4 linked regions of the Saccharomyces cerevisiae S288C genome follow. Changing the gene in region 1 together with any one later gene gives a genetic interaction. Each region holds a gene or a part of one and is shown in the gene's direction. Other genes may lie near its edges.

Evidence for each region.
Region 2: mutations in DEG1 (region 1) and SLX9 together harm fitness more than expected from each alone (negative genetic interaction), as found in Saccharomyces cerevisiae (4 studies listed by BioGRID, with this or other methods).
Region 3: mutations in DEG1 (region 1) and IDH2 together harm fitness more than expected from each alone (negative genetic interaction), as found in Saccharomyces cerevisiae (4 studies listed by BioGRID).
Region 4: mutations in DEG1 (region 1) and IRA2 together harm fitness more than expected from each alone (negative genetic interaction), as found in Saccharomyces cerevisiae (3 studies listed by BioGRID).

The regions. Positions count from the first base shown.
Region 1 is NC_001138.5:140,341-148,959, forward strand, and holds DEG1 (pseudouridine synthase DEG1), read left to right. Parts: upstream 1-6,790; coding exon 6,791-8,119; downstream 8,120-8,619. Other genes in the region: ATP-dependent RNA helicase SPB4, read right to left, coding at 4,774-6,594. UniProt on the Saccharomyces cerevisiae protein: Formation of pseudouridines at positions 38 and 39 in the anticodon stem and loop of transfer RNAs.
Region 2 is NC_001139.9:642,605-646,621, reverse strand, and holds SLX9 (Slx9p), read left to right. Parts: upstream 1-2,841; coding exon 2,842-3,474; downstream 3,475-4,017. Other genes in the region: GCD2 (translation initiation factor eIF2B subunit delta), read left to right, coding at 1-1,762; TOM complex receptor protein TOM20, read right to left, coding at 2,027-2,578; twinfilin TWF1, read right to left, coding at 3,614-4,017. UniProt on the Saccharomyces cerevisiae protein: Involved in ribosome biogenesis. Required for normal pre-rRNA processing in internal transcribed spacer 1 (ITS1). May be involved in the movements of the replication forks.
Region 3 is NC_001147.6:575,811-584,031, forward strand, and holds IDH2 (isocitrate dehydrogenase (NAD(+)) IDH2), read left to right. Parts: upstream 1-4,439; coding exon 4,440-5,549; downstream 5,550-8,221. Other genes in the region: EFT1 (elongation factor 2), read left to right, coding at 1-1,816; GTPase-activating protein BAG7, read left to right, coding at 2,754-3,983; SIA1 (Sia1p), read right to left, coding at 6,003-7,871. UniProt on the Saccharomyces cerevisiae protein: Performs an essential role in the oxidative function of the citric acid cycle. Also binds RNA; specifically to the 5'-untranslated leaders of mitochondrial mRNAs.
Region 4 is NC_001147.6:169,150-178,558, forward strand, and holds the start of IRA2 (Ras GTPase activating protein IRA2), read left to right. Parts: upstream 1-1,920; coding exon 1,921-9,409. Other genes in the region: ATG19 (Atg19p), read left to right, coding at 1-825. UniProt on the Saccharomyces cerevisiae protein: Inhibitory regulator of the Ras-cyclic AMP pathway. Stimulates the GTPase activity of Ras proteins.

The DNA.
Region 1 (8,619 bases):
TCGATATTAGCATTTATTAAGAACCAATTCAATGCTCGCGTTCTAGTTATCCAGATGGATCGTGGCTCCGAGTACACTAACAAAACTCTTCATAAGTTCTTTACGAACAGAGGTATTACTGCATGCTATACAACCACGGCAGATTCTAGAGCACACGGTGTCGCTGAACGATTAAATCGTACTTTATTAAACGATTGTCGCACACTGCTTCATTGCAGTGGTCTACCAAATCATCTATGGTTCTCAGCAGTCGAATTTTCTACTATAATCAGAAATTCATTAGTCTCACCAAAAAACGATAAATCTGCAAGACAACATGCAGGTTTAGCTGGACTGGACATTACTACTATACTACCTTTCGGTCAACCGGTTATAGTTAACAACCATAATCCCGACTCGAAAATACATCCTCGTGGCATTCCAGGTTACGCCTTACATCCGTCACGAAACTCTTATGGCTATATTATCTATCTTCCATCATTAAAAAAGACAGTAGATACTACCAATTACGTTATATTACAAGACAAGCAATCCAAATTGGACCAATTCAATTATGATACACTCACCTTTGATGATGATCTCAATCGTTTAACAGCCCATAACCAATCTTTTATTGAACAAAATGAAACGGAGCAGTCATATGATCAAAATACAGAATCTGATCATGACTATCAATCGGAGATTGAAATAAACTCTGATCCTCTAGTGAACGACTTCTCGTCCCAATCAATAAACCCTTTACAATTAGACAAGGAACCAGTCCAAAAAGTACGTGCACCAAAAGAAGTTGATGCCGACATATCTGAATACAATATTCTTCCATCTACTATACGATCTCGTACACCCCATATCATTAATAAAGAGAGTACCGAAATGGGTGGTACCGTTGAATCAGATACTACTTCACCTAGACACTCGTCTACCTTCACTGCACGAAACCAAAACCGACCTGGTAGTACCAATGAGATGATTGATTTGACCTCACAGGATAGAGTTAATTATGGACTTGAAAACATCAAAACTACACGTTTGGGTGGTACGGAGGAACCATATATTCAACGAAATAGTGATACAAATATCAAATACAGGACTACAAATAGTACGCCCTCAATAGATGACCGTTCGTCCAACAGTGAATCCACTACTCCCATCATCTCCATAGAAACAAAGGCTGTATGTGATAATACACCCTCCATTGATACGGATCCGCCAGAATATCGATCTTCTGACCATGCGACTCCTAATATAATGCCTGACAAATCCTCAAAAAATGTTACGGCTGATTCTATTCTTGACGACCTCCCACTTCCTGACTTAACCCATAAATCTCCTACGGACACTTCTGATGTTTCAAAAGATATTCCACACATACACTCTCGTCAGACTAATTCCAGTTTGGGTGGTATGGATGATTCTAATGTTCTGACTACTACCAAAAGTAAGAAAAGATCATTAGAAGATAATGAAACTGAAATTGAGGTATCCCGAGACACATGGAATAATAAGAATATGAGAAGTCTGGAACCACCAAGATCGAAGAAACGCATAAATTTAATTGCAGCAATAAAAGGAGTGAAATCGATCAAACCAGTTCGAACGACCTTAAGATATGATGAAGCAATTACATATAATAAAGACAACAAAGAAAAAGACAGATATGTTGAAGCTTATCATAAAGAAATTAGCCAACTATTGAAAATGAACACTTGGGATACAAACAAATATTATGATAGAAATGACATAGATCCTAAAAAAGTAATAAACTCAATGTTTATATTTAACAAGAAACGTGATGGTACACACAAAGCTAGATTTGTTGCAAGAGGCGACATTCAACACCCCGATACATATGATTCTGATATGCAATCCAATACCGTACATCACTATGCACTGATGACGTCACTGTCAATCGCATTAGACAACGACTATTATATCACACAGCTGGACATATCCTCTGCTTACTTATATGCTGATATCAAAGAAGAATTATACATAAGACCTCCACCACATTTAGGTTTGAATGATAAATTACTACGTTTGAGAAAATCACTCTATGGTTTGAAACAAAGTGGTGCAAACTGGTATGAAACCATTAAATCATATTTAATAAATTGTTGCGACATGCAAGAAGTTCGCGGATGGTCATGCGTATTTAAGAATAGTCAAGTAACAATTTGCTTATTCGTTGATGATATGATATTATTCAGCAAAGACTTAAATGCAAATAAGAAAATCATAACAACACTCAAGAAACAATACGATACAAAGATAATAAATCTGGGTGAAAGTGATAACGAAATTCAGTACGACATACTTGGATTAGAGATCAAATATCAAAGAAGCAAGTACATGAAATTAGGTATGGAAAAATCCTTGACAGAAAAATTACCCAAACTAAACGTACCTTTGAACCCAAAAGGAAAGAAACTTAGAGCTCCAGGTCAACCAGGTCATTATATAGACCAGGATGAACTAGAAATAGATGAAGATGAATACAAAGAGAAAGTACATGAAATGCAAAAGTTGATTGGTCTAGCTTCATATGTTGGATATAAATTTAGATTTGACTTACTATACTACATCAACACACTTGCTCAACATATACTATTCCCCTCTAGGCAAGTTTTAGACATGACATATGAGTTAATACAATTCATGTGGGACACTAGAGATAAACAATTAATATGGCACAAAAACAAACCTACCAAGCCAGATAATAAACTAGTCGCAATAAGCGATGCTTCATATGGTAACCAACCATATTACAAGTCACAAATTGGTAACATTTTCCTACTCAACGGAAAAGTGATTGGAGGAAAGTCGACAAAGGCTTCGTTAACATGCACTTCAACTACAGAAGCAGAAATACACGCAGTCAGTGAAGCTATTCCGCTATTGAATAACCTCAGTCACCTTGTGCAAGAACTTAACAAGAAACCAATTATTAAAGGCTTACTTACTGATAGTAGATCAACGATCAGTATAATTAAGTCTACAAATGAAGAGAAATTTAGAAACAGATTTTTTGGCACAAAGGCAATGAGACTTAGAGATGAAGTATCAGGTAATAATTTATACGTATACTACATCGAGACCAAGAAGAACATTGCTGATGTGATGACAAAACCTCTTCCGATAAAAACATTTAAACTATTAACTAACAAATGGATTCATTAGATCTATTACATTATGGGTGGTATGTTGGAATAAAAATCAACTATCATCTACTAACTAGTATTTACGTTACTAGTATATTATCATATACGGTGTTAGAAGATGACGCAAATGATGAGAAATAGTCATCTAAATTAGTGGAAGCTGAAACGCAAGGATTGATAATGTAATAGGATCAATGAATATTAACATATAAAATGATGATAATAATATTTATAGAATTGTGTAGAATTGCAGATTCCCTTTTATGGATTCCTAAATCCTCGAGGAGAACTTCTAGTATATCTACATACCTAATATTATTGCCTTATCAAAAATGGAATCCCAACAATTACATCAAAATCCACATTCTCTACAGTATACATATTATTATAGCCTTAATCAACAATGGAATCCCAACAATTATCTCAAAATTCACCAATATCTCAGAGACTATATCTGAAACAAACAAAGACGTATAGTCCAAAGCAATATTCAAGGAAACTACAAAGTGAGATTAGCTACGTAGAAATAGGAGAAAAAGTATAAATTTAAAGTTAAATTCAGATCTCAAATTCTCTTAATATTTGAAATAAATCCGCTGCGTGACAAATCCCGTGATGATCTCGGAATATTTATATGTTACCATTTATACTTATGGTAGAATTATACTCACTAATGAATGTACGGTTACTATTTGGAACAAGTGGTCATCAATTGCCATAGTAACATTTTGAATGCTTGCATCGTGCATGAATACATACCGCATATATGTTTAAGTATGAATATACCTGTTAAAGAAAGTAATGAATCTGTATTGAAGAACCGTAGGTTTGACATGATCTGGTCGTTATATATACGCGTAATATGACTAGTCAAACTAAATGTATGACAAGTTCCAGAACTACTATTACATTGATCATAAGTAATAATACACAAATCAGCGTGTGTTTTATACTTCTCTTATATAGTATAAGAAGATCCATATTTAATCTTCATTAACACTACTTCTTAACCTCTAATTACCAACGGGTCAATGTTAGGATAATTGTTGGCATTCCATTGTTATTAAAGGGAATCAAAGTATATTAAAAATTCTTCCCAAGGATGTAATAACCTAAAAAAGGAAGCCCATATTTCTATATAATGTTATTAATATTTTCTTTTTCATATTATTGTCGCCACTCTTTATTCCATTACATTATCAAGTCTTGCATTTCGGCTTCCATTAAATTTGATGATTATTTCTCAGTCTTTGTGCCATCTACTCACACTCAATTTTAATATAGTGTTAATATGAATACTAATCAATGAGCGATCATTGGTTCCATTACAATAACGTTGTGATCGGAACTTATTTTGAAGTTATTCCTGTCGACTGCCTGATGTCAGTATTGAGGCTGTTTGATTATTTCTGAACATAATATCCTTTTCCTGTTACAAGTACATGCTGAACAAGAGATATATATTATGCTTTAAGATGGAGTATAATGGTTTTAGAATATTTTAAATTAAGTATGCATACACAAATAATCTACTTACTCACTATGATGCTACAAGATCATCCATTGGTTAAGAATGTTGAGTGATTCTACGAACAAGGTAACTTTTTTTCCATAATTATAAGTCGTCAAAATTGCCTTGGATAGCTTTGCTGGAAACTTTCTTCCGTTTATTCTGTAAAACGATTTCTTTCCAATCCTCTTTAATACGCTCTTCTTCAGCATTTTCATCGAGCTCTTCTGCTTTCAATTCTTCCTCTATAGCCTTCCTTTTTAAACTCATCTTTTCCTTTCTCTCGAGTTTCCGTTCTTTCGTCAATGTTTTATCTGACCACGCTAAATTCTTCTTCTTCAACTCACTTTTCAGCTTCTTTTTATCATTAATCAGGCTTATATTTTTTAATGTTTCTTGTCTCTCCTTTTCACGTTTTTTGTCCTTGTATTTATATTCATCCATATTAACTGGGGGATCGACCAACCAATTCCCTGGGAAAATCCCTTCTTGTTTTTCGGTGGCTAAGTACTTTGTTATCTCAGGCATTCTAGGCAGGCGGAAAAGACCATACAATTTCGCAATACCAACATAATCTAAAGATTGAAGCCTAAAAATTGAAGTTGCGGAATGATTTGAGTAGTATTTAATAAAGGCAACATATGCTTTAACACCTTTATCAAATCTATCCCTATCTTCTAGTATCCAATTTCTAAAGTCCTCGTAAAAGTTTGTTGTTATGCCCTTTACTTCCAAATCAAGTTCTTCAAGTTCCACATTTTTAACTTGCATGAAAGGAATAAAATCCTCTTCTCTGCCTTCATTAAGAAACGTAATTGCTTTACCCACTCTATTTGCTCTACCAGTTCTACCACATCTATGCATGAACATATCAGTATTGGTAGGGGGATCAAGCTGGATGACGAGATCAACGTCGGGTATGTCAATACCTCTAGCAGCCACATCTGTTGTGAATAAAACAGAATTACTTAGCGAATCAGTAAAAGCTGTTAGAGTTTTTGTCCTTGCCGATGTTTGAAGTTTTCCATGCAAGGAAAATATTTCTACTTCATTCACGAGAATATTCCTCTTTCCCAAATACTGGATAAATGAGTAGAAGTAGGAGACTGACACACATGTTGGAAAATATACAATACATTTCTTGAATTTGTAGTTATTCAAAATGCTAACCAAAAGTTGTAGTTTTTCGGCAGGATTTACGACACAGTAATTTAATTTCAAAGAGGAGGGCGCCTGGTTCTTAGAGTTAACGGTAATCCTGACAGGATTTCTAAGCCCTGTCTTAAAGATATCTGATCCGGCGCTACGCATAGTTGCAGAAAATAGACCCGTCCTTCTTTGTTTAGGCAATAGCCTCAGAATTTTTTCGGTATCCTTAATAAAACTCATATCCAACAATCTGTCTGCTTCATCCATAACTACCATACTGCATGCTGACGTCTTTACTGCTGGCATTTGTAAAAAGTCCAAAACTCTACCAGGTGTTCCAATCAGAATCTGCGGTCTATTCCGCAGAAAATTACTTACATCATCTCTAACTGTGGCTTCATTAGTACCAACCAGGAGCTGACATTTAATAGGGAACAAGTCGGAAGGATAATGTTCCAGAAATGATAGAACGACAGACTCAATTTGGCGTGACAATTCTCTTGTTGGAGCAATAATTAACGAGTGGAAGTGTGCTTTCTTGAATTTTGATGTATTCGCTTCTTCCTTTACAACTTTTTCTAGTACAGGTATAACAAACGCAGCGGTCTTACCTGAGCCTGTTACAGAATCAACTACTACATCCTTGTTGCCAGCAAGCATGGGAATTGTCGATGCTTGGACTGGAGTCATGGTCTCAAAACCCATAACATCGAGTCCTGTCCTTATCCAGGGAAGTAAAGAAAACCCGAGATTATCCCATTCCAATGACTTTGACATTGTTTTTATTGCTGCTGAGCTTTTAATATTATCTTACTACACCTCAAATCAATGGGCTCAGCTCATCTTGAAAAGCTCACTTTGTTTTTCAGTGAAAAATTTTTGAAAGCGAAAAGCCGGCTCAAAATAAAGAATAATATAGTATTCTCGAGGTGCCCACATGCAATCTTTACTGCCCTACTATAACCTCCCTTGAATGAGTAATTTCATTAGAAGGCTAGTTGGGAAAATGAAAGCGATTTCAACAGGTACCAATGCTATTGTTAGTAAGAAGGACTCCATTTACGCAAACTGGTCCAAAGAGCAGCTAATACGAAGGATCACTGAACTAGAAAACGCAAATAAGCCACATTCTGAAAAATTCCAGCACATCGAGGATAACAAAAAGCGCAAAATTTCGCAAGAAGAGGTTACGAGAAGCAAGGCGAAAAAGGCTCCGAAGAAGTTTGACTTTTCTAAACATAATACCAGGTTCATCGCCTTGAGATTTGCCTATTTGGGATGGAATTACAATGGCTTAGCTGTTCAGAAGGAATACACACCGTTGCCTACAGTAGAGGGTACCATTTTGGAGGCCATGAATAAGTGTAAACTTGTTCCCTCGATGGTTTTACAAGACTATAAATTTAGCAGATGTGGCAGAACAGACAAGGGAGTTAGCGCCATGAACCAAGTTATATCGTTAGAAGTCCGTTCCAATTTAACAGATGAGGAACAGCGGGATCCGACCAACGACAGCAGGGAAATACCCTATGTTCACGTTTTAAATCAATTACTACCCGACGATATTCGTATATCAGCTGTCTGCCTCAGACCGCCACCTAACTTTGACGCAAGATTCAGCTGTGTTCACCGGCACTATAAGTACATCTTTAATGGAAAAAACCTTAATATTGAAAAAATGTCTAAAGCCGCATCATATTTTGTTGGAGAGAGAGACTTCAGGAATTTTTGTAAGCTTGATGGCTCAAAACAAATTACCAATTTTAAACGAACAATAATAAGCTCAAAAATTCTTCCCCTTTCTGAAACTTTCTATTGTTTTGATCTCGTTGGTTCAGCATTCCTATGGCACCAAGTTCGTTGCATGATGGCCATTCTTTTCTTAGTTGGTCAATCACTTGAAGTGCCGGAAATTGTCTTGCGTCTGACTGATATTGAGAAAACCCCTCAAAGGCCTGTTTACGAAATGGCAAATGATATACCATTATTGTTATATGATTGTAAATTTCCTGAAATGGATTGGCAAGAACCTACTGTAGATGACTATAAGGCAATAAAATTCACGACAGCTACTGAAGCATTGACGTTACACTACGAACTTAAGGCCGCAGTATGCAATATTTTTAAAGATGTTTTGCCCACAGCAAATACAAACAACTTCTCAAAGACAATTATTAATTTGGGCGATGGAAGAGGTAAAGTAGTCGGTACCTATGTGAAACTAGAGGATAGAAGCGTTATGGAACCTGTCGAAGTTGTTAATGCTAAATACTCCAAGAAAAAGAACAACAAAAATAAGTAAAATAATATATAAACCTGTATAATATAACCTTGAAGACTATATTTCTTTTCATCACGTGCTATAAAAATAATTATAATTTAAATTTTTTAATATAAATATATAAATTAAAAATAGAAAGTAAAAAAAGAAATTAAAGAAAAAATAGTTTTTGTTTTCCGAAGATGTAAAATAGGTTGAAAGTTAGAAATTAGTATTATAATAGCAAAAAAAATTTAAAGTTAGAAATTAGAATTTAAGGCTCTACACACGTTTACGATGATATTGGACGACCGACACGAAAAGACAGTTTTAGGCTTTCTTTTGTCTTGCTCTTGCGTTGAAAGTACGTAATTTCCATTCGATTACTTACTCAACACTTGATATAGAGACCAACTATAAAATAAACTGTTTGGGAAGGAAAGCAGAACTCTTGTAATTACCTCATCTCATTATCAAGAAGCAAAATTTTAACTATGTATTTTGACCTTATTTTTGTACTCCACTTTTTTTTTTTAGTTTTT
Region 2 (4,017 bases), on another chromosome or scaffold:
GCAACAACAAGCACAAATGAAAAAAGAGAAGAAACAACTACAACGTGAGCAACAACAGAAAAGAGAGCAAAAGCAAAAAAATGCCAATAAAAAAAAACAAAATGAACGAAACGTGAAAAAGAGCACACTTTTTGGTCATCTGGAAACTACTGAAGAAAGAAGAGCGACAATTTTAGCTTTAACCAGTGCAGTATCATCTCCAAAAACTTCGCGAATCACCGCTGCTGGGTTGATGGTCCCCGTGGTGGCTAGTGCATTATCAGGATCTAACGTATTAACGGCTTCTTCCTTGATGCCCGTGGGTCCAAACGCGTCGTCTACTGTATCTGCATCAGCTCCAGCTTCAACAACAACGACTCTTCCTGCCTCTTCTGCAGCACTCTCTGCCGGTACCAGTTCTGCGTCAACAAATACTCCAACAGCTATACAACAAGAGATTGCTTCATCAAACGCTTCTGATGTTGCCAAGACATTGGCATCTATCTCGTTAGAGGCTGGTGAGTTTAATGTCATTCCCGGTATATCGTCAGTGATCCCTACCGTGTTAGAACAATCATTTGACAACTCCAGCTTGATATCGTCTGTTAAGGAACTTTTATTGAATAAAGACCTTATCCATCCGTCGATATTATTATTAACTTCTCATCTAGCACACTATAAAATCGTGGGATCCATCCCACGTTGCATAGCCATGCTAGAGGTTTTCCAAATTGTTATCAAAGACTATCAAACACCTAAGGGAACTACCTTGTCACGTAACTTAACAAGTTATTTGTCACACCAGATTGATCTTTTGAAAAAAGCTAGACCTTTAAGTGTTACTATGGGTAATGCTATCAGATGGTTAAAGCAAGAAATTTCATTAATTGACCCATCTACCCCCGACAAAGCCGCCAAAAAAGACCTTTGTGAGAAAATTGGGCAGTTTGCTAAAGAAAAAATCGAACTGGCTGATCAACTAATTATAGACAATGCCTCTACACAAATTGAAGAATCTACTACTATTGTGACATATGGTTCATCAAAGGTTCTAACTGAACTGTTACTGCATAATGCAATCAGTTTAAAGAAAAACATCAAAGTGATTGTCGTCGATTCGAGACCACTATTTGAAGGGCGGAAAATGGCAGAAACTTTAAGAAATGCTGGTGTCAATGTTATGTATGCACTTATTACAAGTTTGGATACGATATTCAATATGGATGTGGACTATGTGTTTTTAGGAGCCCATTCTATCCTATCTAATGGGTTCCTATATTCAAGAGCTGGGACAGCAATGTTGGCTATGAGCGCTAAGAGAAGAAATATACCTGTATTAGTCTGCTGCGAAAGTTTGAAGTTTTCACAAAGAGTACAATTGGATAGTGTCACATTTAATGAACTGGCAGATCCAAATGACCTGGTTAATATAGATTACGAAAATCCAGTCGAGAGACGCGGTAATAAAGGTGCGTTATTAAACCAATTTATCAAAGAAAGAAAATTTGAAAAGAAAAAGCTAGCAATGGAGAATAAGCCAAAGGGTAATAAAATTGGCGGTAAGAAAGGATCTGAAGGAGAAAGCAAGGACGCCAGTAATGAAGAAGACAGCAACAGCAAAAATATTTTGGATGGTTGGCAAGAGTTACCTTCGTTAAATATTGTCAACATCTTATACGATTTAACACCACCAGAATATATTAAAAAAGTGATCACTGAATTCGGCGCTTTGCCACCTTCATCTGTCCCTGTTATTTTAAGAGAGTACAAAGGTTCCGCATAAGCATATACAACATTCGTTAATGGTCGTCCACGTGTGTATACTACATATATATTATATATATATATATATATACATATATATATATATTACACCTAATACGATGAAAAAATACATCTAATGAAAAGAATTGTTTTTATCCTTAGCTTTCCAAAAAGCTTGGTATATATAACAAGATTTAGGCTAGAGAAATGATGTAATTATATAGGGCTATATACAGAGTAAAAGAAACAAAAACGGAGAAAAAAAGCAAGCAAAATGTTACTCTCAGTCATCGATATCGTTAGCTTCAGCAACCGCATCAGATTCGGCCTTGCTTCCAACAACTCCTTTAACGAAAGAAGCCACATTAGCAGGAGGCAAGATGGCAATCATTAATATAATATATTCGTAAATGGCTTCAGGAATGGATCTTTGGTAAATTCCCAATAAATCGGCTGGCTGAGGGTATACAGTCAATGCTTTATAAAACTTAGAGGCTGCTTCCAGTTCCTTACCTTGTTGCATGGATAATCTTTCACCATTTTCTACGTTGGTGGTAAATGTAGCTTCTCTTTCGGAGGGATCACTAGGGATGGGGTCCTTGGCTAATTCCATGGATAAGAATTCGGTAACCTTTTGCAGCTTCACTTCCTTAGCATGAGTTTTAGCTTGTTCTTCCATCTTGGCCTGCTCTTTGGCCCTTTGTCTCAACACTTTCCTGAATTGCGGGCTATTTCTTCTTTGATAGTCAAAGTAGATAGCATAACCGGTGGCTGATAGAGCTGCTATGGCTGTTGTAATAGCGAGGCCACGTAAGATAGGGTTCGACTGGGACATAATAGAAAATAAACTTTATGAAGGTGGCACTTGAGGCAATGTTTCTTGTAGGTCTAGGCGAAGGGACAATAGGTAAATAACGTAAATGTCGGCCATTATCAAGGTGAAATATTCCTGTATAAAAAATGTTATTCGGCGCGAGAAACTGAACGGGGTGACGCACTGCAAATTTTTCATGTTTTACATACTCAAGCATTACAGACTCGATGAGCAGAGATAAGAGACAGGAAATCCATTGAATATAGAAGCATAGATAAGCGATAATGGTTGCTAAGAAGAGAAACACGCTTAGAAGCAAAGTAAGTGCAAGAAATAGTCAAAATTTTGGACCAGACGTAGCGAACAATGGCATTCTGGACGAGAGTTATGACATAGAATCTGATCCAAGGGCCTTTCTGCACCAACCTAAAGAAACTAAAAAGGAAAAGCTACTTAACAGACAGAATACTTTCTTATCTAACTTGAAGGGGAAATCCACACTTAACGATGGCATAGCTGCCAATTTTGATGGTATTTCTAAATCTTCCATTAGACGTAGGAAAAGAAAGCTAAGAGAAGAACTAAAACCAAGAATGCAAGATCTGCTCACTTCTTTGGAGCAAGAAAAGGATTTACGGGGCATTATTGAAAATAGTAGCAAAGACATGAATAACGATGATGACATCGACATGGATTCTAAAATAAGGTTTGTGGACACAAAGGAAATGAACTTGAAAAAGATAGAACCTGGTTCTGTTAGGATAAAAAAGAATCAGCCAAATATCAGGAACCAAAAGGGTGCAAAGGCATTGGCTGCTAACGAAACTGCAAGATTCAATCAGGTCCTAACCAATCAAGATTTCCAAAAAAATCCATTTGGCGCCTTAAGAGAGGTTATCAAGCTGCAAAAACAATGAACATTAAATAGCATAGCATAACAATTTTTGCCAGTGTAATATATATTCCAGCAAACCTAGAAAAACATTCAGTTTCATATTTAGAAGAATAAAAACGTATGTATTGTTGGTCACACATATATAGATGCCATTTCTATCTCTATGTTCTTCTTTTCCTCAATGGGCCCTTTGGTTTGTTGAATTTCAAATTGCTTTTGTTTGGGAGATCTGGATTGGATCCATGATCGAGGCTATCTTCTTTATTTGTTGCCATAAGTAAGGACTTGTCTAGTTCCACAAAATCGCCAATTTCTACCACTTTACTAAATGCGATTTTTTGATCATTTTTCAAGTAGTTGATAAATCCATTCTTGTTAGAAGCATATATCATTCTATCTTTGACTTTGCTGCCAGAGGGACAAGAGTAGATAAAGAAACTTGAATCACCCTGCCTGAAAATCGTGTAACTTGGCCCGGGCAAGTCAATGTACAGTTCATCTACGGAGGGACATGTATCAGATTGCACGATCTGGATGGTTTCGTTCGAGGGATCGATTTGAAATA
Region 3 (8,221 bases), on another chromosome or scaffold:
CAAGATGATGGACAGATTATGGGGTGACTCTTTCTTCAACCCAAAGACCAAGAAGTGGACCAACAAGGACACTGATGCTGAAGGTAAGCCATTGGAAAGAGCTTTCAACATGTTCATCTTGGACCCAATCTTCAGATTATTCACTGCTATCATGAACTTCAAGAAAGACGAAATTCCAGTTTTGCTAGAAAAGTTGGAAATTGTCTTGAAGGGTGACGAAAAGGACTTGGAAGGTAAGGCCTTGTTGAAGGTTGTTATGAGAAAGTTCTTGCCAGCTGCCGATGCCTTATTGGAAATGATTGTCTTGCACTTGCCATCTCCAGTCACTGCTCAAGCCTACAGAGCTGAACAATTATACGAAGGTCCAGCTGACGATGCCAACTGTATTGCTATCAAGAACTGTGATCCAAAGGCTGATTTGATGTTGTACGTCTCCAAGATGGTGCCAACCTCTGATAAGGGTAGATTCTACGCCTTCGGTAGAGTTTTTGCCGGTACTGTTAAGTCCGGTCAAAAGGTCAGAATCCAAGGTCCAAACTACGTTCCAGGTAAGAAGGACGATTTGTTCATCAAGGCCATTCAAAGAGTTGTTTTGATGATGGGTAGATTTGTCGAACCAATCGATGACTGTCCAGCCGGTAACATTATCGGTTTAGTCGGTATCGATCAATTCTTGTTGAAGACTGGTACTTTGACCACCAGTGAAACTGCTCACAACATGAAGGTCATGAAATTCTCTGTCTCTCCAGTTGTGCAAGTCGCTGTCGAAGTCAAGAACGCTAACGACTTACCAAAATTGGTCGAAGGTTTGAAGAGATTGTCCAAGTCTGATCCATGTGTCTTGACCTATATGTCTGAATCCGGTGAACATATCGTTGCTGGTACCGGTGAATTGCATTTGGAAATTTGTTTGCAAGATTTGGAACACGACCACGCTGGTGTTCCATTGAAGATCTCCCCACCAGTTGTCGCTTACAGAGAAACTGTTGAAAGTGAATCTTCTCAAACTGCTTTGTCCAAGTCTCCAAACAAGCATAACAGAATCTACTTGAAGGCTGAACCAATTGACGAAGAAGTCTCTTTGGCTATTGAAAACGGTATCATCAACCCAAGAGATGATTTCAAGGCCAGAGCTAGAATCATGGCTGACGACTACGGTTGGGATGTCACCGATGCCAGAAAGATCTGGTGTTTCGGTCCAGACGGTAACGGTCCAAACTTGGTTATTGACCAAACTAAGGCTGTCCAATACTTGCACGAAATCAAGGATTCCGTTGTTGCTGCTTTCCAATGGGCTACCAAGGAAGGTCCAATTTTCGGTGAAGAAATGAGATCTGTCAGAGTTAACATTTTGGATGTTACTTTACATGCCGATGCTATCCACAGAGGTGGTGGTCAAATCATCCCAACCATGAGAAGAGCTACTTACGCCGGTTTCTTGTTGGCTGATCCAAAGATCCAAGAACCAGTTTTCTTGGTCGAAATTCAATGTCCAGAACAAGCCGTCGGTGGTATCTACTCCGTCTTAAACAAGAAGAGAGGTCAAGTCGTTTCTGAAGAACAAAGACCAGGTACTCCATTGTTTACCGTCAAGGCCTACTTGCCAGTTAACGAATCTTTCGGTTTCACTGGTGAATTGAGACAAGCTACCGGTGGTCAAGCTTTCCCACAAATGGTTTTCGACCATTGGTCCACTTTAGGTTCTGACCCATTGGACCCAACCTCTAAGGCTGGTGAAATTGTTCTTGCTGCTCGTAAGAGACACGGTATGAAGGAAGAAGTTCCAGGCTGGCAAGAATATTACGACAAATTGTAAGAAGTCTAAATGAGAAAAGGTGGTTCTGTAAGAGCAAACCTTACCGCCTTATGATCTTTTTCATTTATTCTCTGCTTTAAAATTTTGTCGTAATAAAAATAGTATGGTAATAGACTTATATATTATTTTCTTACACATTTTTGTCATATAGTTATATTCCGAATGTTTACAATCGAACCCATCATAAAAATGGACCTTTTCGTATTACCGCCCCCTTTGTAGAGGGGGAGGAACGGCAACTTCTTGACTATTACGACGTATCACCACCCCGTTAGATATACTATGGAAAAAACTATTAAAAACCATTATAATTCATTAATGACATCGGTCCTGAGGTAGTATTACGTATAACTTACCTGGCTCTTGGTCATAGCTTTTTATCCGTTTACGAAAAAAGGAGAAGAAGATTGGGCTTCCGCGGCTATTGTTTGGTTTATACCCCGCCGTATGTTGGTGCTTCTATAATTAGAGCGAAATAGGAAATACAAAAAATCCTTGGAGGGGAGGACCAGCCTCATCGGGCTAAAACTCCCTCAAAACCGGAGGGGCAACCAAAGTATATATCTCATTATGGCCGATACTTCTAGAGGCGCACTAACAGAAGCACCTCAGCCCCTGCAGGTGAAAGAAAGAGGTAATTAATTTTCCGGTTACTTACTTTCTCTCGCTATTGGGGAAAGCGTTGGTTCGAGGCGTTGAGGTCGAAGACAATCATTGTTTTCTTCTTATTTAAGTACATCTTTAGAAGAAAATTACACAACTGGAATGAGTAAATCAATACTTGCTTTGTGTTCCCATTGTTAGATACTCTTGTTTTAGCATGTGATAGCAGTATATAATATAACCTGCAAAATAATCGAAACGCGTACACAGGAAAGAGTACATAAATAACCATAGTATATTTCTGGACATATCTTATTACACAACATAAAATAGAATGTTTAACATGAATCTACTTTCTACACCTTCTTCTGAAGAGGGTTCTCCACAGAATAGGTCATCTTCAATGTCTTCTGTTGAGGGCAAGAAGGATAGGGACACCTTTACTAATTTGCAAAACGAATTTGATGGTAAAGTATTTGGCGTCTCACTCGAGGAATCACTGAAAGTTGCTCAAGAGGAAGTAATTATCCAAAAAAGTACAAATGAAATTGGTTCCATACCGGTGGTAATAGCAAAAAGTGGGAAATACCTAAAAGAGAATGCATTAGACACAACAGGAATTTTCCGTATTGCGGGAAGCAATAAACGTGTTAGAGAGCTACAAGCTGTTTTCTCTAAACCGCCCGATTATGGTCGTAAATTTGAAGGATGGTGTGATTTCAATGTTCATGACATTGCAACTTTATTAAAAAGATATTTGAACTCATTAAGTGAGCCTTTGGTTCCCCTAGCATTATACGACATTTTTAGAAATCCAATATTAGAAAACCCAAAAATAAATGAGCACAAAGAACAAATCATTAAGGACTACGAAGATATTTATATGCTCTTACCACAACAAAATCGCCATTTAATACTTTATTTAGCCGCGCTCTTGAATTTATTTGCAAGAAATGAAAAGAAGAATTTAATGTCAGCAAGCAATTTAGCGGCCATCGTACAACCCTCACTTTTGTCTCATCCCAAGGATGAAATGTGCCCGAAAGAGTATGAGGCTTCCAGAACTGTCATCGAATTCCTCATACTACACGCTTCAGATATAATACCGAATACGGAAAAAGCGAATAAGGACACCATGCCGCATGCAGGAACAGTAGCAAAGTTTAACAACATTACCGTTCCTGAAATGGCTATTGACTCCGATGAAGAAGATTTTGTGCACCCTTCAATAGATGACCATATGCTTCCAAGGTCACGTGCACTTTCTGACTCCAACAATTTTACCATACATCATCATCATCATCATCATCATGCACTGTTTCCTAGCCCAATAGATTTTGATAACAATGGGCTTTCTGTACCGAGATCCTTTAAAGGTAGAACATTGAGTGCAGAGTCCCTTTCTCCCAGACTTAGTAAATTACTTGGGAACGTTGGAAACAGCAGCAATACTGGCATCAAAGACCCTACAGAAAGAGTTCCTAGAGGTGAACATAAAACCAAACACAAACAACGACAGTCATGGTTGAGAAGACTCACTAGCCCTTCTAGAACGCAGCCTTAGCTTCCTAAGCACTGTGATCTGCTAGTCGATTCCGAGGTTCGGCGAAGAAATTGTCGTTGCCCCGCCAGGGGCCTTTTGCGATACTCGGCGCTTCTTTCAGCAATCTCGGTCCGCATCTCGGCAAGGGGGGGCATGACACGGGCCGCTCTGGTTGGTCAGTTCCTATTTTCTGTAACTTCCATTGTTTGGTTAAAGAATATATAAGTTATTGAAAAGCTCATAGGTCCCTTATTATAGGCCCTAAGGTTTTAGTTTCTCATCATAGTCATATCAGAAAAACCCTCCTTCTAAAGTTTTCCTCTTTTCTTATTTCTTTTTCATTTATTATTCATATTTATATAAATATATATTCCAAGTGCATGACATTATTGGATACACTTTTTCTGAACCTGAATTACCTTGGTAGATAATAAGATACAGATCGGGAACGAACAACAATTATAATATTTTTTAATAATGTTGAGAAATACTTTTTTTAGAAACACCTCGAGGAGGTTTTTGGCTACTGTAAAGCAACCTTCAATCGGAAGATATACCGGCAAACCTAACCCTTCTACCGGCAAATACACGGTCTCGTTCATTGAAGGTGATGGTATCGGACCTGAAATTTCCAAGTCTGTAAAGAAAATCTTTAGTGCAGCAAACGTCCCCATAGAATGGGAATCTTGTGATGTTAGCCCTATCTTTGTCAACGGATTAACGACCATTCCTGACCCTGCCGTACAATCTATCACAAAAAACCTGGTTGCACTAAAAGGTCCACTAGCTACACCTATTGGTAAAGGTCACAGATCTTTGAATTTGACATTGAGAAAAACATTTGGGTTATTTGCCAACGTTCGTCCCGCAAAGTCTATTGAAGGTTTTAAGACCACTTACGAAAACGTTGATTTAGTTCTTATCAGAGAGAATACCGAAGGTGAATATTCTGGTATCGAACACATAGTTTGCCCTGGCGTTGTTCAATCTATTAAACTGATCACAAGAGATGCCTCTGAGCGAGTCATTAGATACGCTTTTGAATATGCAAGAGCCATCGGCAGACCAAGAGTTATTGTGGTACATAAATCTACTATCCAGAGATTAGCTGATGGTTTATTCGTTAATGTTGCCAAAGAACTATCCAAAGAGTATCCTGACCTTACTTTAGAAACTGAACTTATTGATAACAGTGTGTTAAAGGTGGTCACCAACCCATCTGCTTACACAGACGCTGTTTCTGTTTGTCCAAATCTATACGGTGATATCTTGTCCGACTTGAACTCTGGTTTGAGCGCCGGTTCTTTAGGTTTAACTCCATCTGCCAATATTGGTCATAAAATCTCGATCTTTGAAGCTGTCCATGGCTCTGCCCCTGATATTGCCGGTCAAGATAAAGCGAATCCAACTGCCCTACTTTTATCTTCAGTAATGATGTTAAACCACATGGGTCTAACGAATCATGCTGACCAAATTCAAAATGCAGTATTGTCTACTATCGCATCAGGTCCAGAAAACAGAACAGGTGACTTGGCTGGTACTGCTACTACTTCATCATTCACTGAAGCAGTCATCAAGAGATTATAAAAGTCCTATTCTTTTCCCTCTCAGGTTTTTTCACGCCTTGAAAACAAATGACTATCCGTTTAATATAATGATTTCTGAAAGATTATGAAGTAAAAAAAAGCAAAATGCTTAGATATATAATATATACATACAATAAAAATTCCGTATCTACTCCAAACTTCTATGGCTTTGTCCTCAATGTGTTCTGATGTTTATTTAATAGCCTGAAGTTTTTATTAAGTATGTATACTTTTCGATATTTATTCTTTTAATAATGCTACAGGAGACCATAAGTGATAACTCAAAATGTCCCTCAGTGGACTTGTAAACCAAAAAAAAAAAAAAAGAAAAAGAATTAAATATATTATGTGTAAAAAGAAAACACCACCGTGTGTTATGTATATTTTGTTTATGTCTATCTATCATCTATCCTGCTGGCAGTCAATGTTCACCTTACAAAATTAATCATTGAAATTATTGCTTCCCCTTATAGATGTACTGATAATCGTAAACCTCGTCAACAAGATTGCTATTCCTCTTCCACGAAGTTATTTCGTCCAAAATATCATCCAAGTTAAATAATCTAACGGTTGGATATATACCTTGGATTCTCGGCAAGCCTATACCAGCGGACCCACCGTAACATAACCACATCTCATTTTTTGACTGTAAGCAACAGTCATTATTATGTTCATGTCCGCAACTGACACCCTTTATATTCCAAAGACTCAGGATATCAAGGAAGCTTTTGTAATGTTTGCCATTGATCGTCATTGAAACTTGTCCTCTAGACCTTGGCGTATCTACTGTTAAGGTAGACCTCTCATTATACTGCCCAATAATAGGAAATAAACCATGAGGCCTATATTCCGATAATGGAAAATATTGAAATGCCAAGCCAAAGTCTATTTTCCCAATCAGGTCGTTATAATCTTGTAGGAAATTATTGACGGGCGCAAATGAATCAAAGACGAAAAATAAAGCCTCTGATGGGTTTGTTTCGTCTTCGGTATCAATGTCTCTTTCCAAAAGAGTATTCTTCGTGAGCTTCTTTTTAAATGAGACTTCTATGGCCATATGACCCTCTTCTGATGCAACGTTGTTAAATGTGTAAGGTAAATTCCTGATAAAGTCTCTAATTTGTGCCGATGTGGCCAAATTGGATTCGTCAGAAACACCCAATGAAATTGCGTAGGGTATTTTATTAGAAATCATTGGTTGGACAACTTTCATAATGCACGTTTGATAGTCGATAGTATTATGTGAGTCTAACAAATCACCTGTGATCACAACTAAATCAGGGTTTTCTGATGCGAGTACCCTATCAATAAAATTTACTGTTTTTATTTCATTGATTACGGTCATGCTATTATCCGTACATTTGAAATGAAAATCAGTTATTTGGAGAATTTTGAATGATCTTTGTCCCCTCGAAAATTGTATATGGGGAGATGTTATTTTGTAATCTGCATCGACTTGGATATTAATGTCTTTGCTGGGTGTTCTCAAAGAACCTAGCAATCCATTAGAAAATTTGTGATGATGGTTTTTGGTTTCAAGCTTTCTTGTAATTGATATGGGCAGAGAAGGTATGTTATTTCTATGAAATTCATGGATAACTTCTTTCCAAGAAGGCCTCGATTCAATAAACGATGATCCTAGATATATTTCCAAATTAGTTATAGGAGCGTCATTATCATCATCATTAAGGATATACTTACACCATATGCCGCTCCCCTTGTATACCCACTCCTCACCGAACACAGCTATGTTATCTGTATCAACGGATATGCCGAAAAGCAGCTTCCACCATGACGAAGTAGGCTTTTCTCGTAGATACACATGATTGTGAAAGACAGAACTGTCGCTCGATTTCACCAACTTATTAATGTCTCTCAGCACTTGTAGGGGTATTAGTGCTGAGTCCCTTGCTATGGCTAGTTCTTTTATTGTGTTTTTTGGATTACTTTGGAAATCTTTCAGATGAACATATAAGTAACTGTTGTAGAATGGTCCAGACTGAAGTGAATACAATGTCTCTACAGTAATATTCTTAGAAACTCTGGTCCACAGAATGCTGTTTTTGTCTTTGATCTTTTTAGCAGTATTGGAGGGGTGTAATTTCGGGGCATACAAAGAACTACATTGCCTGTACCAATGGTAGCACCGCAGGATTTGAATATCGTCTATCATTCCGCCATGATATTCTGCTACATTATGATCCATTAATACATTTTTTGCATGTAGCTTTAGTGAATCTCTCGATAAATACAATGAAGTAATGCATAATATAAAAAGTATTCTCCTTAAAAAATTAAATCTTCTTCTATAATGTAATCTCATGCAAATATTTGAAGGGTATTGTTTGCGAAGGTCAATGAATGTGATAAGAGCTAATTGTTGGAAAGTAAAATAATCGAAAGGAATGAGAAAAAGGTAAGTTATTTAAATCTCTTTTGGAAATGAAACTAAAGCAACTTGAAAGAAATTTCAAGAAATAATGAAAACCTCGAATTAATCGACAAATGAAGAGTACTGCAGAACCGAAATTGAAAAAAAAGGTCGTAAAGTTGAAATGAATTGAAGTCAGAATTAAAATAGAAGGGGTATTGTTGCGGCTAAAGTAAAATAAAGAAAGGAGAAGTTAGAAAAAGCAACTCAATGATCTTGTGTTCGAGGCTATATTATAATAA
Region 4 (9,409 bases), on another chromosome or scaffold:
GAAGAAGAGATAAGCCCTAATTCCACCTCTAATGTGGTTGTGTCAAGAGAATGCTTGGATAACTTCATGAAACAACTCCTTAAGTTGGAAGAATCGTTAAATAAGTTGGAATTGGAGCAAAAGGTCACAAATAAAGAACCTAACCACAGAATAAGCGGTACGATTGACATACCAGAAGATAGGTCCGAACTAGTGAACTTTTTCACAGAGTTGAAAACAGTCAAACAACTTGAGGACGTTTTTCAACGTTACCATGACTATGAGAGGTTATCACAAGAATGTGACAGTAAGACGGAAATCGCCTCTGACCATTCGAAAAAGGAAACTAAAATAGAAGTGGAACCCCCAAATGAGCGCTCATTGCAAATCACAATGAACCAAAGGGACAATTCATTGTATTTCCAGTTGTTTAACAACACAAACTCTGTTTTGGCAGGCAACTGCAAACTGAAGTTTACTGACGCTGGCGATAAGCCAACCACGCAAATTATTGACATGGGTCCTCATGAAATAGGAATAAAGGAGTACAAGGAATACCGATACTTTCCATACGCACTTGATTTAGAGGCCGGCTCCACTATCGAGATTGAAAATCAGTATGGAGAAGTGATCTTCTTGGGCAAGTATGGCTCTTCTCCAATGATTAACTTAAGGCCACCTTCAAGATTATCTGCAGAAAGTTTACAGGCATCCCAAGAGCCATTTTACTCCTTTCAAATCGATACGTTACCAGAACTGGATGACTCTAGTATCATCAGTACATCCATTTCACTCTCTTATGACGGTGACGACAATGAAAAAGCCCTGACTTGGGAAGAACTCTAGGTCAAACTCTATTTTTATACAGCAATGAGTACCTTTTCACATACACATAAATATATTAAATATAATAAATACAATAAATATAAAATAACCCTTTTCGAAACTCTTTACTTCCTAAGGCCTCTCATTACTTATCACCTAGCATCATGCTCTTCATACATGCCATCTACTTTCAAACGATATACGGCTAACCAGAAAAGTACGGACAATCAGGGACGAGCAGGGACATGACGCCTTCCGCACAGATCCCAGAGAAAAGCAGGGAAACAAGAAAATAAGAAAACAAGAAAAACAGTAGTTACCCTTGTAAGTGTCATCCACAACAGAACCAATACTCTTACTCTTCCGCTCATTCCCCGCAGAATGATAGAACTATTCTAAATCCCCTTGCCTTGCTTGGCCTTGACTTGGGTTGGGACTTGGACCTCTAGAACCGATGTGCCTTCAAACATCTTAGCGAGATAAGAGTCTGCCATTAATGCATCGAGCCAATATCTTGGACTAGTACGAGGTTCACGTAGCCTTTCTTGCACGGCACCAGCGTCCCACCCCAAGTTCTTTGCTATACTGACCGCCTTACACATTTTAGTGTGATTCCAACCCAAAGTAGCTCCTCAAAAAGGGTCACCCGATCGGTGAATCAATCCGCGGCGCAGAAATGTTCGTAGAGCTCTCGTTTCTTCTAGAACGCTCCCTTGATGAAACGAAAATTTCCATCACAATAAAGCTCGCACGCCTTTTTGAAAACCCCAAGCTTTGCTGTGTCTTCTTGTGAAAAGTTTTGCCCAACGATTATCTATTCTACATATAACCGGGGAGTTAAGCACATCCTATTGCCCTACATTCTCTCCGCTTACTTCATTGTCTAGAGCTCCTGGGAAACAAAAGACCGAAAAAGCGAAAACAAAATCAGAACAAGGCTTAAGTACTTTTTCACCAATTGTAGCAAACATTTAACCACATTTTAGCACACTAGCATATAGCATTGTCCTCTGTTATTCGTTTTGCTTTTCTCCTTTAGTGTTACTTTTCCCCCAACGTTACACCATTTTTTGATATCAACTAAACTGTATACATTATCTTTCTTCAGGGAGAAGCATGTCCCAGCCCACTAAGAATAAGAAGAAAGAACACGGGACCGATTCCAAGTCATCCCGCATGACTCGGACGTTGGTTAATCATATTCTTTTTGAAAGAATTCTCCCGATCCTTCCGGTGGAGTCTAATCTAAGTACCTATTCGGAAGTGGAAGAGTATTCCTCATTCATTTCATGCAGATCTGTGCTCATTAACGTTACCGTTTCCCGAGATGCAAATGCTATGGTGGAAGGCACCTTGGAGTTGATAGAATCGCTTCTTCAAGGGCACGAAATCATTTCAGATAAGGGTAGCAGTGACGTTATTGAATCAATACTGATTATACTAAGATTGTTAAGTGATGCGCTAGAGTATAATTGGCAAAATCAAGAAAGCCTTCATTACAACGACATTTCGACTCACGTAGAACATGACCAAGAACAGAAGTACAGACCAAAGCTTAACAGTATTCTGCCCGACTACTCGTCGACTCATTCCAATGGCAACAAACACTTTTTCCACCAGAGCAAACCTCAGGCACTGATACCGGAACTGGCATCGAAATTGCTTGAGAGTTGCGCGAAGTTGAAGTTCAATACAAGAACTTTGCAAATTTTACAAAATATGATCAGTCATGTTCATGGAAACATTCTAACGACTTTGAGTTCCTCGATTCTTCCCCGCCACAAATCCTATCTGACAAGGCACAACCATCCTTCTCATTGTAAAATGATTGACTCTACTCTAGGCCATATTCTCCGATTTGTAGCGGCTTCCAATCCGTCCGAGTATTTTGAATTTATCAGAAAGAGTGTGCAAGTGCCCGTAACACAGACACACACGCATTCACACTCCCATTCACACTCTTTGCCATCTTCCGTTTATAACAGCATAGTGCCCCACTTTGATCTTTTCAGCTTCATCTATTTAAGCAAGCATAATTTTAAGAAATACTTGGAACTCATCAAAAACTTATCGGTGACGTTAAGGAAAACGATTTATCATTGCCTACTTTTGCATTACAGCGCCAAAGCAATAATGTTTTGGATAATGGCTAGGCCTGCGGAATATTATGAACTCTTCAACTTATTAAAAGATAATAACAATGAACACTCGAAATCCTTAAACACGTTAAACCATACACTTTTCGAGGAGATCCATTCGACTTTTAATGTGAATAGCATGATAACCACCAATCAAAATGCTCATCAAGGCTCATCTTCCCCTTCGTCCTCCTCGCCATCGTCACCACCTAGCTCATCATCATCGGATAACAACAATCAAAACATAATAGCAAAATCCTTAAGTCGTCAGCTTTCTCACCACCAGTCATACATTCAACAGCAGTCTGAAAGAAAACTACATTCTTCATGGACTACAAACTCTCAATCCTCTACTTCACTGTCATCTTCAACGTCTAATTCAACAACAACTGATTTCTCTACTCACACTCAACCAGGAGAATATGACCCTTCCTTACCAGATACTCCCACGATGTCTAACATCACTATTAGTGCATCTTCATTATTATCTCAAACTCCAACTCCAACAACACAATTGCAACAGCGGTTGAACTCAGCAGCTGCAGCCGCCGCCGCAGCTGCTTCACCATCGAATTCCACCCCAACTGGATACACAGCAGAGCAACAAAGTCGCGCTTCATACGATGCACACAAAACTGGCCATACTGGTAAGGATTATGACGAACATTTTTTGTCTGTCACTCGTTTGGATAATGTTTTGGAGTTATACACGCACTTTGATGATACTGAGGTACTACCACACACATCCGTACTGAAGTTTTTAACTACTTTGACAATGTTCGATATTGACCTTTTTAATGAATTAAACGCTACATCATTCAAATATATTCCTGATTGTACTATGCATCGTCCAAAAGAAAGAACAAGTTCTTTCAATAATACTGCACACGAGACAGGTTCCGAAAAGACTTCGGGTATAAAACATATTACACAAGGCTTAAAGAAATTAACTTCTTTACCTTCCTCAACCAAAAAAACTGTAAAATTTGTGAAGATGTTGCTAAGAAATTTAAATGGGAATCAAGCTGTATCAGATGTTGCCCTCTTAGATACAATGAGGGCCTTACTATCATTCTTTACAATGACTTCTGCGGTCTTTCTCGTGGATAGAAACTTACCCTCAGTACTTTTTGCCAAGAGACTCATCCCCATAATGGGGACAAATTTAAGCGTCGGTCAAGACTGGAATTCAAAAATAAATAACAGTTTGATGGTTTGTTTGAAAAAAAACTCCACCACGTTTGTTCAATTACAATTAATATTCTTCTCTTCAGCTATTCAATTCGATCATGAATTATTACTGGCACGTCTGAGCATCGATACAATGGCCAACAATTTAAACATGCAGAAGCTATGCCTTTATACTGAAGGATTCAGGATATTCTTCGACATACCAAGTAAGAAGGAATTGCGGAAGGCAATTGCGGTTAAAATTTCTAAATTTTTCAAAACATTATTCTCCATTATAGCAGATATTCTTTTACAAGAATTTCCGTATTTTGATGAGCAAATCACCGACATAGTTGCTTCCATTCTTGACGGTACAATTATCAATGAGTATGGTACGAAGAAACATTTCAAGGGGAGCTCACCCTCTTTATGTTCGACAACCCGGTCAAGATCAGGATCTACATCTCAAAGTTCAATGACACCAGTTTCTCCGCTGGGACTGGATACTGATATATGTCCAATGAACACCCTGTCTTTAGTTGGTTCAAGTACTTCAAGAAATTCTGACAACGTTAATTCATTAAACAGTTCACCAAAGAACTTGTCTTCTGATCCATACTTGTCACATCTTGTGGCCCCAAGAGCGCGTCATGCTTTAGGTGGGCCATCTAGTATTATAAGGAATAAAATACCGACTACATTGACTTCACCTCCAGGAACGGAAAAATCTTCACCAGTACAACGTCCGCAAACGGAAAGCATCAGTGCCACACCAATGGCCATAACAAATTCTACTCCATTATCGTCGGCAGCATTCGGAATTCGATCGCCTTTGCAGAAAATAAGAACGAGGCGTTATTCCGATGAAAGTTTAGGAAAATTCATGAAATCAACAAATAATTACATTCAAGAACATTTGATACCAAAAGATTTGAATGAAGCAACTCTTCAAGATGCTAGAAGAATAATGATTAATATTTTCAGTATTTTTAAGAGACCGAATAGTTACTTCATCATTCCTCACAATATAAACTCGAATTTACAATGGGTTTCGCAGGATTTTAGAAATATTATGAAACCGATTTTCGTCGCCATCGTAAGTCCGGATGTAGATTTACAGAATACTGCTCAATCATTCATGGATACCTTATTATCGAATGTTATTACTTATGGTGAATCAGATGAGAATATCAGTATTGAAGGGTATCATCTTCTTTGCAGTTACACTGTAACATTATTTGCAATGGGCCTTTTCGATTTGAAAATTAATAATGAAAAGCGTCAAATTCTCTTGGATATAACTGTCAAGTTTATGAAGGTTAGATCACATTTAGCAGGGATCGCGGAGGCCTCACACCACATGGAATACATAAGTGATTCTGAAAAACTCACCTTTCCGCTGATTATGGGGACTGTTGGTAGGGCCCTATTTGTTTCATTATACTCTAGTCAACAAAAAATTGAAAAGACTTTAAAGATTGCTTACACAGAGTATCTTTCTGCAATCAATTTTCATGAGAGGAATATTGATGATGCTGATAAAACTTGGGTTCATAATATTGAGTTTGTAGAAGCGATGTGTCATGACAACTACACAACTTCTGGTTCAATTGCTTTCCAAAGGAGGACAAGAAATAATATTTTACGATTTGCTACTATTCCTAACGCTATCTTACTTGATTCTATGAGGATGATCTATAAGAAGTGGCATACTTACACACACAGTAAAAGTTTAGAAAAACAAGAACGGAACGACTTCAGAAATTTCGCGGGTATTTTAGCCTCTTTGTCGGGTATCCTATTCATCAATAAAAAGATATTGCAAGAAATGTATCCATACCTACTCGACACCGTTTCAGAATTGAAAAAAAATATAGACTCTTTTATCTCAAAACAATGCCAATGGTTAAACTATCCGGATTTATTAACGAGAGAAAATTCAAGAGATATTCTAAGTGTAGAACTGCATCCTTTGTCTTTTAACTTACTTTTTAATAATTTGAGGCTCAAGTTAAAAGAACTTGCTTGTTCAGACTTATCAATACCAGAAAATGAAAGTTCCTATGTTTTATTAGAACAAATAATCAAAATGCTGCGGACAATCCTAGGTCGTGATGATGACAATTATGTAATGATGCTTTTTTCCACAGAGATTGTAGATCTTATTGATTTATTGACAGATGAAATAAAAAAAATACCAGCCTATTGTCCAAAATATCTCAAGGCAATTATTCAAATGACCAAAATGTTCAGTGCCTTGCAGCACTCAGAGGTTAATTTAGGTGTCAAAAATCATTTTCACGTTAAAAATAAATGGTTGAGGCAAATCACTGATTGGTTTCAAGTGAGTATTGCGAGAGAGTACGATTTCGAAAACTTGTCAAAACCTCTAAAAGAAATGGATTTGGTAAAAAGAGACATGGATATTCTATACATAGATACGGCAATCGAAGCTTCAACCGCTATTGCGTACCTCACGAGACATACTTTCTTAGAGATTCCACCTGCCGCGTCAGATCCCGAACTATCTCGATCTAGGTCTGTGATATTTGGGTTTTATTTCAACATCTTAATGAAAGGCCTTGAAAAAAGTAGTGATCGTGACAATTACCCAGTATTCTTGAGGCACAAAATGAGTGTCCTCAACGACAATGTAATACTTTCATTAACAAATCTTTCAAACACCAATGTTGATGCGAGTTTGCAGTTCACCTTACCGATGGGCTATTCCGGAAATCGAAACATTAGGAATGCATTTTTGGAGGTCTTCATTAATATCGTTACGAACTATCGGACATACACGGCTAAAACTGACCTTGGAAAATTAGAGGCAGCAGACAAATTTTTGCGATATACGATTGAACATCCCCAGCTATCGTCCTTTGGAGCAGCGGTTTGTCCCGCTAGCGATATTGATGCTTATGCTGCTGGCTTAATAAATGCATTTGAAACGAGGAATGCCACCCACATTGTAGTGGCACAGTTGATTAAAAATGAAATTGAAAAATCTTCCAGACCTACGGATATCCTTAGAAGAAATAGCTGTGCTACGAGATCATTATCTATGCTAGCCAGGTCCAAGGGTAACGAATATTTGATTCGCACTTTGCAACCATTACTAAAAAAAATTATCCAGAACAGAGATTTTTTTGAAATTGAGAAACTAAAACCGGAAGATTCAGATGCTGAACGTCAAATAGAGCTCTTCGTTAAATACATGAATGAATTATTGGAATCCATATCCAACTCCGTATCTTATTTTCCCCCTCCTTTATTTTATATTTGCCAAAACATTTATAAAGTTGCGTGTGAAAAATTTCCGGATCACGCAATTATCGCCGCTGGGTCTTTCGTGTTTTTACGGTTTTTTTGTCCTGCTTTAGTCAGCCCTGATTCTGAAAATATCATAGATATTTCTCACTTGAGCGAAAAGCGTACCTTCATCAGCTTGGCTAAAGTTATCCAAAATATTGCCAATGGCTCAGAAAATTTCTCCAGATGGCCAGCTTTGTGTTCCCAAAAGGATTTTCTTAAGGAATGTAGCGATAGAATTTTCAGATTCCTAGCTGAACTTTGTAGAACAGATCGCACGATAGACATCCAAGTGAGAACAGACCCAACGCCAATTGCATTTGACTATCAATTCCTTCATTCCTTTGTTTACCTTTACGGTCTTGAGGTGAGAAGGAATGTGCTAAATGAAGCAAAACATGATGATGGTGACATTGATGGTGACGATTTCTATAAGACCACATTTTTACTTATTGATGATGTTCTTGGCCAATTAGGCCAACCTAAAATGGAATTTTCCAATGAAATACCAATATACATAAGAGAACATATGGACGACTATCCGGAACTGTATGAGTTCATGAATAGGCACGCGTTCAGAAACATTGAGACTTCAACAGCGTACAGCCCAAGCGTTCACGAGTCCACCTCAAGTGAAGGCATTCCAATTATTACGTTAACAATGTCAAATTTCTCAGACAGACATGTGGACATTGATACAGTTGCTTACAAGTTCTTGCAAATTTATGCTCGAATCTGGACCACCAAACACTGTTTAATAATCGACTGTACAGAATTTGACGAGGGAGGGCTTGATATGAGGAAATTTATTTCTTTGGTTATGGGACTATTACCAGAAGTTGCACCCAAAAATTGTATAGGCTGTTACTACTTTAACGTAAACGAGACATTTATGGATAATTATGGAAAATGTTTGGACAAAGACAACGTATATGTTTCCTCGAAAATTCCTCATTATTTCATTAATAGTAACTCTGATGAAGGACTTATGAAATCTGTGGGTATAACTGGACAAGGGTTGAAGGTTCTGCAAGATATTCGTGTCTCTCTGCATGATATCACGCTTTATGACGAAAAAAGAAATAGATTTACGCCGGTATCGTTGAAAATAGGCGATATTTACTTTCAAGTCTTGCATGAAACTCCTAGGCAATATAAAATAAGGGACATGGGTACTTTATTCGACGTAAAATTCAATGATGTCTACGAAATTAGCCGAATATTTGAAGTACATGTTTCGTCAATAACTGGAGTGGCAGCTGAATTTACAGTAACTTTTCAGGACGAGAGAAGGTTGATTTTTAGTAGTCCGAAATACCTTGAAATTGTGAAGATGTTCTATTACGCACAGATCCGGTTAGAAAGTGAATATGAAATGGATAATAATTCGAGTACCTCCTCCCCAAATTCAAACAACAAGGACAAACAGCAGAAAGAGAGAACAAAACTATTGTGCCACCTACTGTTAGTATCTCTTATTGGTCTGTTTGATGAGAGTAAAAAAATGAAAAACAGTTCGTATAACCTAATAGCTGCCACTGAGGCGTCATTTGGTTTGAACTTTGGCTCCCATTTTCATCGCTCTCCCGAGGTGTACGTCCCCGAAGATACTACAACATTTTTAGGTGTTATTGGAAAGTCTCTTGCAGAGTCTAATCCAGAACTCACAGCCTATATGTTTATCTATGTTTTGGAGGCATTGAAGAACAACGTAATTCCTCACGTTTACATCCCTCATACCATTTGCGGTTTGTCTTATTGGATCCCTAATTTATACCAACATGTGTATTTGGCTGATGATGAAGAAGGCCCCGAAAACATATCTCACATTTTCCGAATTCTTATCAGGCTCTCTGTGAGAGAGACTGACTTTAAAGCCGTATACATGCAATATGTTTGGTTGCTACTTTTAGATGATGGCCGCTTAACTGACATTATCGTTGATGAAGTTATTAATCATGCGTTAGAAAGAGACTCCGAAAACC